Oryzias latipes: one gene and its partners. The protein of the gene in region 3 purifies or fractionates together with the protein of the main gene of each other region. This does not show direct contact. Links are inferred from orthologs where the notes say so. Each region holds a gene or a part of one and is shown on either strand. Other genes may lie near its edges.

The links.
Region 1: the proteins of nup43 (region 3) and sec13 purify together in Homo sapiens (affinity purification with mass spectrometry; 3 studies listed by BioGRID and IntAct, counting the BioPlex papers as one, with this or other methods). This does not show direct contact. The link is inferred for Oryzias latipes from reciprocal best matches to the Homo sapiens genes NUP43 and SEC13.
Region 2: the proteins of nup43 (region 3) and nup133 purify together in Homo sapiens (affinity purification with mass spectrometry; 5 studies listed by BioGRID and IntAct, counting the BioPlex papers as one, with this or other methods). This does not show direct contact. The link is inferred for Oryzias latipes from reciprocal best matches to the Homo sapiens genes NUP43 and NUP133.

Annotation. Positions count from the first base shown.
Region 1 is NC_019863.2:32,816,499-32,820,249, reverse strand, and holds the start of sec13 (protein SEC13 homolog), read left to right. Parts: upstream 1-1,463; 5' UTR 1,464-1,610; coding exon 1,611-1,613; intron 1,614-1,815; coding exon 1,816-1,860; intron 1,861-3,166; coding exon 3,167-3,282; intron 3,283-3,497; coding exon 3,498-3,649; intron 3,650-3,751. Other genes in the region: cullin-associated NEDD8-dissociated protein 1-like, read right to left, coding at 656-723. UniProt on the Homo sapiens protein: Functions as a component of the nuclear pore complex (NPC) and the COPII coat. At the endoplasmic reticulum, SEC13 is involved in the biogenesis of COPII-coated vesicles.
Region 2 is NC_019859.2:2,085,154-2,088,804, reverse strand, and holds part of nup133 (nuclear pore complex protein Nup133), read left to right. Parts: coding exon 1-120; intron 121-199; coding exon 200-322; intron 323-387; coding exon 388-487; intron 488-562; coding exon 563-826; intron 827-931; coding exon 932-1,065; intron 1,066-2,432; coding exon 2,433-2,591; intron 2,592-3,047; coding exon 3,048-3,183; intron 3,184-3,504; exon of another isoform or gene 3,505-3,651. UniProt on the Homo sapiens protein: Involved in poly(A)+ RNA transport. Involved in nephrogenesis.
Region 3 is NC_019882.2:17,710,071-17,713,821, reverse strand, and holds the start of nup43 (nucleoporin Nup43), read right to left. Parts: upstream 2,352-3,751; 5' UTR 2,234-2,351; coding exon 2,114-2,233; intron 1,933-2,113; coding exon 1,810-1,932; intron 894-1,809; coding exon 816-893; intron 733-815; coding exon 570-732; intron 500-569; coding exon 364-499; intron 269-363; coding exon 117-268; intron 39-116; coding exon 1-38. Other genes in the region: pcmt1 (protein-L-isoaspartate(D-aspartate) O-methyltransferase), read left to right, coding at 2,573-2,750. UniProt on the Homo sapiens protein: Component of the Nup107-160 subcomplex of the nuclear pore complex (NPC). The Nup107-160 subcomplex is required for the assembly of a functional NPC.

The DNA of each region.
Region 1 (3,751 bases), on a different chromosome or scaffold from region 3:
ATTGTAGATGCTGTCATTTTTTAAGTTGAATTGTGACTTTGGTGCATAGATTTAGGCCATGATTAGTCTAACGTTTTATTCTAAAAATACTGTAGAAGTTGTCAACTTTTGGAGATGCCGCCTCTTGTTTTCATATTCTTTATTGAAGCTTCAGTTGTGATTTGATTTTAATAATTGAAATAGTTTGGATTCAAAAGCGTGACATAAACAAATCTTTACAAAGAAATCAACTAAAACAGTTTTAAAGGTTTCGTTCTGTACACAAACACCTGAGTTTAGGATTCGCTTCTTGTTGTACTTCTAAAGTTTGTGTTCAAGTTTCATGATGTGTGTGTAATGAAACTTTTACTTTCACTTCTTTGTCATTTGAATTTTGCACTTTTTAAATGTTAGTAAACTAAATACATCTGCATTTTCAGCAAAATGTAAAAAAAGAACCTTTTAATAACTGTCTTTTCTCCTCTGAGTCTCTGATCAGATTTTAAATTAAAATGTTCATTACTTTAACATTCACTGCTTTATATTCATTACTCAGAGTGTCTTAAACAAACGTTTTGACAAAAGAAATATCTACAATCGAATGACGAGTCAGAGTAAAAAGGGTCTCACTGTCAGAGCTGATGAGCAGCTGATGAGCAGCTGTCTCTTACTTTACCTGAAGTCTTTGTCAGTGGAGGTCATTTTCTCCAACAGGTTGGAGATGTGGTAGGACACGTTAGACATGATGGTTCTTTAACAGCTGACACGGACGCCGATAAATGCTAAATCTGTAGGAAAGCAATGGAACTGGGGAACCAGATTCACCCTGACAACATGGCGAGGCTGGTGGGCAGAAAGCGGAGCTAACCTTAAACCTGACACCCCCAGGGTCAGCTAAAAATACAGCACACTTATTCTGGTTTATGTCTCCCTCGTGTGGACAAACCGAGCATTACAGCCGAGTTCGTTTTGAAATCCTAAACCATGGACTGTAAAGAGAAGTTTTACAGTCTCTGTTTGCCATGAATTTGTTTGAATAACATACAAGGTTGTTTTGTAAATAGATTGTTTTCTGATTTATAACTTTATTTTTTAATTGGCTTTCATGTGTGTGAGTATTGTCCCAAATAAATTTAGATTGTTTAATGTGAAAATATACCTTTTGTTATTTTACAGGAAGATGTTTTGACTCTTCTTTCGTTGCATCAACTTTTTTTTTTTTTTTTTTTTTTTTTTTTTCCTCTTTCGGCTTTTCCCATCAGGGGTCGCCACAGCGAACAAGTCGCATGGTAAACTTGGCAATGTTTTACGCCGGATGCCCTTCCTGACGCAACCTTCTCAAAGCAACCGGGCTTGGGACCGGCACAGATAGACAGAGAGACAGATAGACAGAGAAGGGAACAGGGAGCAGCCCTGTCGTTGCATCAACAGGCTTTGTAAATGTAATTTTGCGTTGTTGTCGTGTAGGCGGAACTTACGTTTCGATTGCGTCACTTCCGCCGGAAGCAAGTCTCGGGCTCTGGAAGCGGTCTGCGGTACTTGTTGCCACGTCGGAGTAGTTTGTAAACCCGGTCGATTCATTGCTAAGCGACCAGAAAACTGTTGAAGGGTTTTTGGGTTAAACAGCAGCGATGGTTGGTTAAAATACTTTATAAAAATGGTTTTAGCATTTCTTAAAAACATCTTTAAAGTTTACGTTTGCCTGCTAAGACTCACAGTTAGCTAGCTCCCGTTAGCCGAAATACTAGCTGACGCGTTAGCACTGCAGATAAAAACAATGATGGTTATTTTTTTTATGAACAGGTCAAATAAAATTCTGCTGTTTCTAATCTATAGGTCTCCGTTATTAACACCGTGGACACCTCCCACGAGGACATGATTGTAAGTGTTTGACCTCCCACTATGCTATCCGTGGATGGATAATTACATTGAATTTGTTTAATATTGTTTCACACGTTTATCCGTTCTTACAATTAAACTTTTACTGTGGTTTGATTACTCTATTTTGGGGCTGTATCGTTATCGTTTGGAACTAATCATTAATATTGATTTATAATTACATTTATCCTTAGGTTTGTTTGTGGGGGAAACGTGTTTTTTCTGTCTGTCTTGTTGTTTTCTTGAAGTTCATCTTGTTCTTTGTGCTTTAATCTCTTTAGAAGAAATGACCCACTTTTATCAGAAAGGCTGGATTTTATTGTGATACTTGTTCCTGAATGATACCCTTAATGATTTTAGAGGGAAACGTTTGCCTAACACATGATCATAGAGACGGGCTTCATTTTAAACGAACATACAAGAAAGACAAACATGTTATCAACCTATCAGAGGTCACAGTGTTCTAAAAGTACGAACACATAACTTTTTGTTGACGAGTCCAGGGACATGCTGTAAAGGTTCATGTGTGTTGTTGTGTGTCTCTGTGATGCACGGGTGAAGTGTCCTGGGTGAACCCTGATGGGATAGGCTCCAGCAACCCTGTAATCCTGAGCGGGATGGATGAATTCCCTTCAACATCAAAATGTTTCATTCTTGATAGCATTGAGGCAGTTGTCTGTTGCATAAAAGCATCTAAATCAACCTCCAGCCCCTGATTTCACTGATGTGAGGATCCTCAATTAAAAATGATTTGTTCTAGTATTAAAAGCGCTGTGCTGTATACACTTAAACACTAGACACGCCTGGCAGTTGCATCCCATCTGCATTCATGCATCTGTAAATCTTCAGGTGAGTTGGATGGGAAGTGATGGCGTGTCTAAATACTCACACGTGTTGAAAAGTTCTCTTCATGTCTTTATTCTGGTTTTAGGAGTTAAATTCTCAGAAATCTTCCCTTTATCCAAATGTAACGACCTGCCTTTCTGCAGTGTTTCTTTCTACCTACTAGTACTAAAGACCTTTGACCTTCACACGCCGATGATGTCACCCTTTCAGCTGGAAGACCACCGCTCTCTAGGTGGTTTTTAAACAGCCTCTTCCTGATCCAGAGGTGCTGTAGATTCAAACGGCTGACATGAAAGGTTTAGATCCAGGAGTTCTGGATTTGTGCCTTCATTTAGTGCCAGTATAATGATTGACATAACCAGCATACGTGTTTCCCTTTCAATCTCAAAATGTCCATTTGAAACATCAGACACATAGAAATGGTTTCACTGGCTGTGAACACATACATGTTTCTGTGTTTCAGCATGACGCTCAGATGGATTATTACGGGACGCGACTCGCCACATGCTCCTCTGACCGCACTGTCAAGATCTTTGATGTCAGGAACGGAGGACAGATTCTAGTGGCAGACCTCCGAGGGTGAGTCATCCTCAGAAAAGTCTTAGTTATCCTCTGTTAAATGCAGTAAAGAACAGCAGGTGGGTGTTCTCCAAGAAGAATAACTTCTAGTTTAATGTTCTTTATGCTGGTATAATACACGCTGACAAATATCGTGAAACACAAACGGCTTTCATCGTGAAAAGTTCATTTCTACTCTGAACTCGCGTGTGAGAGATTTTGTGTTCTTCGTTCAGCCATGAAGGGCCCGTCTGGCAGGTGGCGTGGGCCCACCCCATGTTTGGGAACATCCTGGCCTCCTGCTCCTACGACCGGAAGGTCATCGTCTGGAAGGAGGAGAACGGAGCTTGGGACAAGATGTACGAGTACACGGGACACGAGTCCTCAGGTCAGTAAGGGAATGTTTCCCCTCATCCAGTGTTAGAACTCCAGCTCATTCCATTACAGCTACTCTGTAGGTGTTTATGGTAAATGCCATTTCTTATCCTAT
Region 2 (3,651 bases), on a different chromosome or scaffold from region 3:
CTGAAGAACCACCACACCAAGCACGGCGAGCTGGTGAACCGGGCCATCAGCGCGGCCCTGCAGAGGAGCGGCACCTCCATCCCGCCCAGCCTCACTCCGGCCGACGTCTTCTTCAGAGAGGTGCCTGCCGCCGCCGCGTCGTCACTGTGAGGTTTGGCGGCGGGGCGGCTCCTTCATTGTTGTGTCGGCGCTTTCCCAGGTGTCTCAGATCTCCTCGGTGTTCGATTGCCTGCTGGAGGAGGAGGAGCGGAGTCTGAAGGAGTACCCGGTTGACTCTGTGCAGTGGGCTGAAGTGGTGCTGATAGTTAACAGCATCATCAAGGTAAACGTGGCGCCAAAGACCAAACGGGTGTTCCGTGCAGCCCGCTGATGCGTGTCTGTGTGCAGGACATGCTGCAGGCTGCGTGTCAGTATAGAAACACCAAGGCTTCCATGTACAGAGCCCCTGAAAGAGCTGCAGTGGAGCCGGAGTACATCCCCTGGACAGGTGAGTCCCTTTCAGTGTTGACCTCGTTTAACCCTGAGGAGCTGACGTTGGAAAAACACTTTTGTTTTTCTCCAGCGTCAGGCGGCATCGGAGGCGTCCGCTCCGTCATTTCCCGCCAGCACAACATCGTCCTGTCCTCGGTGTACCCGCACGCCGACTCCCAGCTGCGCAGCTCCCTCTGTGAGCAGCTGGTGGCGCTGTTGGACATCTACCTGAGCAGCTACGTGGCCCAGCTGACCTCCCTGCAGCAGCCGAGGCCCGCAGGAGCCCAGCAGGAGCGCTACAACAGCCTGGAGATGGAGTACAGCCAGCGCCGCTCCGAGCTGCTCTCCCCGCTGCGTGAGTCTCCGTGGAGGGGCGGCGTCCCGACATCGTGCACGCTCCTGTGAGACCGCCATGTTTTTATCAGACACAGTCAGCAGCTGACAGGATGCTGTGTTGCAGTGGAGCTGGGTCAGTACCAGTGGGTGGCAGCGCTGGCAGAGAAATACTGCGACTTTGACATCCTGGTCCAGATGTGCGAGCAGACCGACAACCAGAACCGCCTGCAGCACTACATGGCCAAGTTTGCAGATCAGGTACCTGAAAGGCGCTAATACTTCATGGTGTCTGATGGGATTTTTTTCTCACGTTTTCCTGATCTGAACCCCTTGAACACCAGAGCTTAAACTCCAGTGTCTATCGACGGCTGTATCTTTTCAAGCGTTTAGTTAATTCTGATTCTCCGCCTCGATTGTGAAGTGGAGAAAAGCGGCGAACGTAACGTGTTGCAAAACAGTGCAAACCGCTTTTCTCCGTTTCAGAATCCGCTGATTCGTGTCGATCACGTTAACAATCAATAAGTTACGATATGTCTCTGAACGTGTTTGACATCGCTGGTGTTTAAGGGAGAAACGTTTATTCAACTCATTTTTTTTGTTTTAGCACCCTCAAAGTATTACTGGTATATCTCTGCTGTTTGAGACCTATGTACATATTTTAAAAGGTTTTTAATGTTTTTCTCTTTGGGTTTACAGCCAAAAAAAAAAAACATGTTAAAATTTGTTAAAGAAAGAAAAAAGAGAATTCAGAATAATAAAAAATGCTTAAGGAAACTCAATAGTAAAAAAATATGTATAAAAAGGAAAGTTGACGAGAAGCTAAATTATCCTGAAAAAAAGCTTCATAAAAATATGCAGAATAATAAAATCTGAAAAGGAAACTAAAACAGAGATGGAACAGAAGGAAAAAGGTGTAGCTAATGTATAGAATAAATACATCCAGATTTAAAAAAGACTGAAATCTACAAATAAATGCCTAATAGGAAGAAAACAAAAGAAATACAAATCTCTTTTAAGCCTATTTATTATTAGATTGTATTTTTAAAATTCTAAATCTCTGTTTTTCTGCTACTCCACCTTTTTTTTAGGGTAATTTATCTTCTTATCAACTTTGGTTCGCAAAAGAGAAACCACATAAAAAAACAGTATTTTGAATTCTGTTTTTTATGCTTTTTATTATCATAAATTAGCATTTTTTTTGCTACAAACTCAAAGCCTCTGAAGCCTTTTTAACCCCTTCATACCTGAATTTATTTCCAGTCATGTAAAACAAATATTCTTCAGTCTGTTTTACATTCAAGGTGATGCTAAATTAGGCGGAGTCCAGGATTAAATGGTATAGAGAGAAACTGTGTGTGAAGAGGTTAAAAGGCCACAGCTAACAGGAGCATCCTTCTCAGCAGTTCCATCATATGGCTTAGTAAAAAAAAACAAATCCAATTTTTAAATTCCTTCTGGAGCTTCAACAGATTATTAATTTATCTGTTGCCATTTTTTGTAATTCTTTGCCAGAACTCAGGCAAAAGTTTCGGGAGCGACTTTGTCTCCTTGTTGCTTGAATGAAAGCTGAGCGTCCAACCGTCAGGACGCTTCATGAATCTTCTTCCTCCTCGTTTTCTTTGCAGAACTTTTCTGACTTTGTGTTTCGGTGGTACATGGAGAAGGGGAAGAGGGGGAAGCTGCTGTCCCAGCCGGCTGCGCAGCACCAGCAGCTGGCCAGCTTCCTGAAGTCCCACCAGCACCTGAGCTGGCTCCACAACGTCCACGTGCACGACTACCAGAGCGTACGCCACGTTTGCCCCCTCACACCCGCAGCTGCACGGCGACAGCAAGCACAGGACACTTTACTTCAGCTCAGCTCAGAATCACAGTTATCAGGAGATTTAGTCTGGAAATAAAGTAATTGGACCCTCTTAGTTAAAAGCACCAGGTCTGTCTTTAAATGAAAGAAGCATTAATTAAAAAACAAGAGTCAGTATCTGTAGAGGAACTTTACATCTGCAGACATTATTTTATGCCCTTATTGCTCCTTTAAGGTCCCACCATTCAAAACACTTTATTCCTGCTTTTTTTCAGTCGTCAATGTAGGATTTAAAATTTTACCTGCAAATAAAGTTTTTTTTATAGCACAAATGAAAAACGAATTAGACGTTTTCCTAATTACGTTGGGAAAGAAAGGGGTAAATATTTATCATTTGTAGGTTATTCCTCCATCCTAAACTGCTTCTACTGCCATGCAGGCCTTCAGGACGCTGTACAGCCAGGCCACCGCGGAGACGCGCTACTTTGTGAAGAAGAAGACGCTGCTGGCGCTCAGTAAGCTGACGGCGCTGGCCTCAGATCTGCCCGACGACCAGATCAACAAACAAGTGGACGGTAAACACAAGCAAACGACAAAAAACTGGATGGATGGATGGATGGATGGATGGATGGATGGATGGATGGATGGATGGTGTTTATGAAGAACATTGAATGTTTGTTTTTCATTATTTTGACTTCAAATAAAAACACAGATTTAAAATTTAATGCACTTAAGGAAGTTTGAACCAATTATTTAACTTAGTCAAGCATTTTCATGAAAGTTGCTTTAGAAAATAAATAAAATTAATTGAATTACATTTAATCTCGAACATCCAGTCAAAACAAATGGCATGAATAGATGATTATTGAGGAATAAAAACAAAATAAATGCACGTCTTCCTTCTTTCAAGATTTAATTGATGTTTGTGCAAAAGGAGGCACCAAAACTTTATTGTCTATTTAATGAACAGACAATAAAGTTTATTTAACGATCATTCATTCGTCTTTTCATCCTTTCTTTCATCTTTTTGTCTTTTATTCTTT
Region 3 (3,751 bases):
GTGATCCGGGTTTGTGGGGTGGAAGCGAACCTCCCACACTGACGAGGAAATCCAAAGGAAAGTTAGTGAAACAGAACCAGAGATATGTTTAAAGTGAAATAAAGAAAGGATCTGACTTTCAGCCGAGTGTGCCTCCATGAGTGAGATGGGCGTGCCCCCCTGTCTCACGTCCCACACACAGAGCATGCCGTCCTGGCCCCCGGTGGCTACGATGTGCTGCTGGTTGGGATGTCTGTCAACGCAGTGCAGAGGAGCTCTGTCTCCTGACCTGGTGGAAAAAAAGACAAACAAGTAAAGGTGTGTTTCTGAAAGGATAAAGATACATAAAAAAATAATAAATACATCAAATTTCAGAGCTCTTACAGGGACAGAATCTGCGATGGGGAGCTGCTTTGCTGCCTGAGGTCCCACAGCTTCAGCTGGCCAATGGAGTTCACCGTCAAAACCTCCGTGGTCTTCAGGTAAGTCACCGCGTGAATTGTGCTGCTGTCTGCATTCTCTAACAAACACAACGGACAGTTTTAGACTCGACTCCTGATGAGGCGGTAACATCCGAGTCCTCATCTCACCGATGACCCGGACCGCTCCTTCCTGGTCGGCTCTGAAGACCACGATCCTGCCGTCCTCCCCGACAGTGACAATCTCCGGGCTGCTGCAGACCAAGGCGGTGCAGGGCGCGTTGTCACAAGGGTAGCTATGCGCCCTCGCCCAGTGCTGCAGAACTGAAATGGTCTGTTCAGGAAACAAAAAGGAAACCCGTTTTTAAACATGACATTTTGTTTTCTCCTCAAGAAAACCGAAAAGAAACAACGTACATGAGTGTTTGGATGATAGCGGAAAATAGTGACTGCTCCCGTTGATGACGCTGAGACCATCCGTTCCTGGTCCAAGAACTAAAACATGAAACAAAGAAAAACAAGAAAAATTACTTTATCCAAACAATGTACACATTTAAAATCATTTAAAATTAAAACCTATTGTAAAAACATTCCCAGTGTTTTTTTTATTATGATTATGCAGTTTTTAGCAAAAATCAAAAACCCTGTGTTGTTCCTTAAGACATAATTTCTGCAGAGCAACAGAAGCTCATTAGAAATTTGTTTCTGGGTTGTGGATGGGACTGTTAGCGTGAAAGTGACCCTACCATGATTTCCCAGCATTCCTTTGTTTACACGCTTTCCTGCTACCTAACAGCCGCTCACAACCCCAATCTAACATTAGCGTAGCACAAGAAAAAAAAACAACCTGCCGTACAGTTTAGATTTAGATTCCAGCTCAGACAAAGGAAAACAAAGACGGATGTGGATCTATTTGTCTGCGTGCGGAACAGGGAGACTTTGGCCCGCCAATGGCAGTTGCTGCATCGCAAACCGGGTCCTTATCCATTACAATTTAAATAAAAAAGTCCTCGTAAATGCAGTGCTAAGCTTAAATCCTTTTGTCCTCCATGATGAGAAAAATGCTACAAAAACATGTTAAAAACACACATATCTGAGTGAACCATCCAACATAATAAAGTGGGAAAATCCAGAAGAATTGAACAAAAATGTAATCAAATAGTTACACAAATTGATCAAACATTTGGGTGTGAGCTTCTGAAGGATCTTTATGACTTTATAACTGCTGACACTTATTTGACATGCTGAATAATTTTAATGACAGAAAAGGGAACATTTAAAATTTCGTTTTGGTTTTGTGCTCATTTCTATTTTTCATTTAGTTTGTTTATAGGCCTAAATAAAGAAATGGCTCCACAGATCAAACATCAACACCGATGATTCCGTCATTAGAAGCTTTTGGGTTTCTTACTTGCAGGTCCAGAACATCTCCGCCATGTTTGTGCTCACATAAAATTTGTGGGTCTCCTTCAAATCCGTCTTCTAATCCAGAATTGTTGTGATTTCCAATGGACCAGATAGACACCTTGTTGTCCTATAAATCAACGGGTTTCACATTAAACTCAGTGAACATTTAAATCACGACGACAAATGAATCAAAACAATTTTTTAAAGTGTATTTAAATAATTTAAATTAATAAAAAAAATTGAGTTAATTAGCAAGCGATCTTAATAATTTGTGTGGTTTTGCGCTAGTAGTAGTACTACTAGCTAACCTCGTTGTCCCACGAGCCCGTAGCAAAGACTTCTGGTTGTTGCAGTGAAGAATAGGAAACCGGACACCATCTCGTCTTACTGATTTTCTGAGACACATATTTGGCATTTATGCTCTCCATGGAAATTGAAGCCTTTTTGTTAAAATTTGAAGTGTTGTTTTCAGTTTACGGACTACACGAGAAACTACGCGCCTGCTGCTTCATACGTAACTACGGTGGCCCGAGAAGACCAGATCACAGTGTGCTATTCTTCTTTAAATTAATAGATAATCTGTTTCCCCCTAGCGGCCGACTTCTTTATTACCCAACAATTCCAATAAAGCAGAGACAGAGGAATTCCCTCTTTAAACTGACACTGGGCTCAGTACGTATCTAATTGGGTTTGTATTTTATTAAACTGTACGTGTTTTGTTAAAAGGGAGTGTATGTGAAAGGCGGCCCGGTAATAAAATCATTTGGATGTCTGGTGACGTATCCGCTCCGCCGTCTCCGCTCGAGGTTGCGAGCTTCATCGGGAAAACTGTTGGCGCAGGCGCGGCACTGACAGCTGCTGTCTACTTACTCCGCAAAGTCTGCTTAATAATGGCCTGGAAATCTGGAGGAGCCAGTCACGCAGAACTTGTCACCAACCTTCGCAGTGAGTCTTGTAGCGTTTTTAAGGTGGCATCGGCAAGCAATTCACCCGCGCGACGCTGGAAAACTGTTTTCGGGCGCGTGCTTGTTAGCGCAGGTGCGGTAGCTAGCTGGTTGCTTAAACTGTTAACCACTGTTGCCCCTAGTTTCTCCACCCCCTTTTTTTTTTTTTGCCAAACCACGTTACGCCGTGGGACACGCGCGCGCTTCTGTCATTTTAGATCAAAATAAAAGCACTAAACACCCAAATTACATAATATTTGCATTAAATATTTAGGGTGTATTGTGATGTTAGCCCGGCCAGCTAGCTATGTATGTGCGTCATGTAGGAGCATGTAGCTAGCGTTAGCAGCGGCGCTAGCTGTGTGCCCTGCCCACATCCATTGATGTCTGTCTGCACTGGCCACTGCGCTGTCATTTCACTGACGAGAACAGTTTAAACCGTAAAGCTCGACTCTGGAAACCACCCTTCTGTTGCACGAGACAGAAATTCACATTTGCTGTGTCACGATAGCAGCTAGCAACATCGAAAGAGCGACTTAGTGCCAAGTCCAACTCGGAATAAATGGTAATGTCATTTTGACACTTAGCCTTTTTGTTCATAATAAGCCTTTAAGCCAGTACATCAACTTATTTAATGCTAATATGTGAATTTAATACGATATTTGCAGACTTGAGTGTGCGTCAACATTCACTGTCAAGTATTTGCCAGCTCTATTTATACTCTCTGTGCTGTCAGGGGTATCATTGCTCGCTTTTTTGCCCATAGCTGCGTGTTTAGGAGGGCATCAGTCTCTATATCTGCTTATCTCAGTCCAGACATGTTTGCTTCCGACTAGCACACTTCATTTGGATTGAAGCAGACCACATGCAGAAGGCATGCTGATCAGTCTGCCACCTCTGGCTGAACCTTTCAACCCTGCAGGCTTTTGTTAAGGACCTTTTGTGGTTATATTGGCTTTATGCAAATAGGTACAGTTAAAAAAGTGATCATGTGGACTGTAT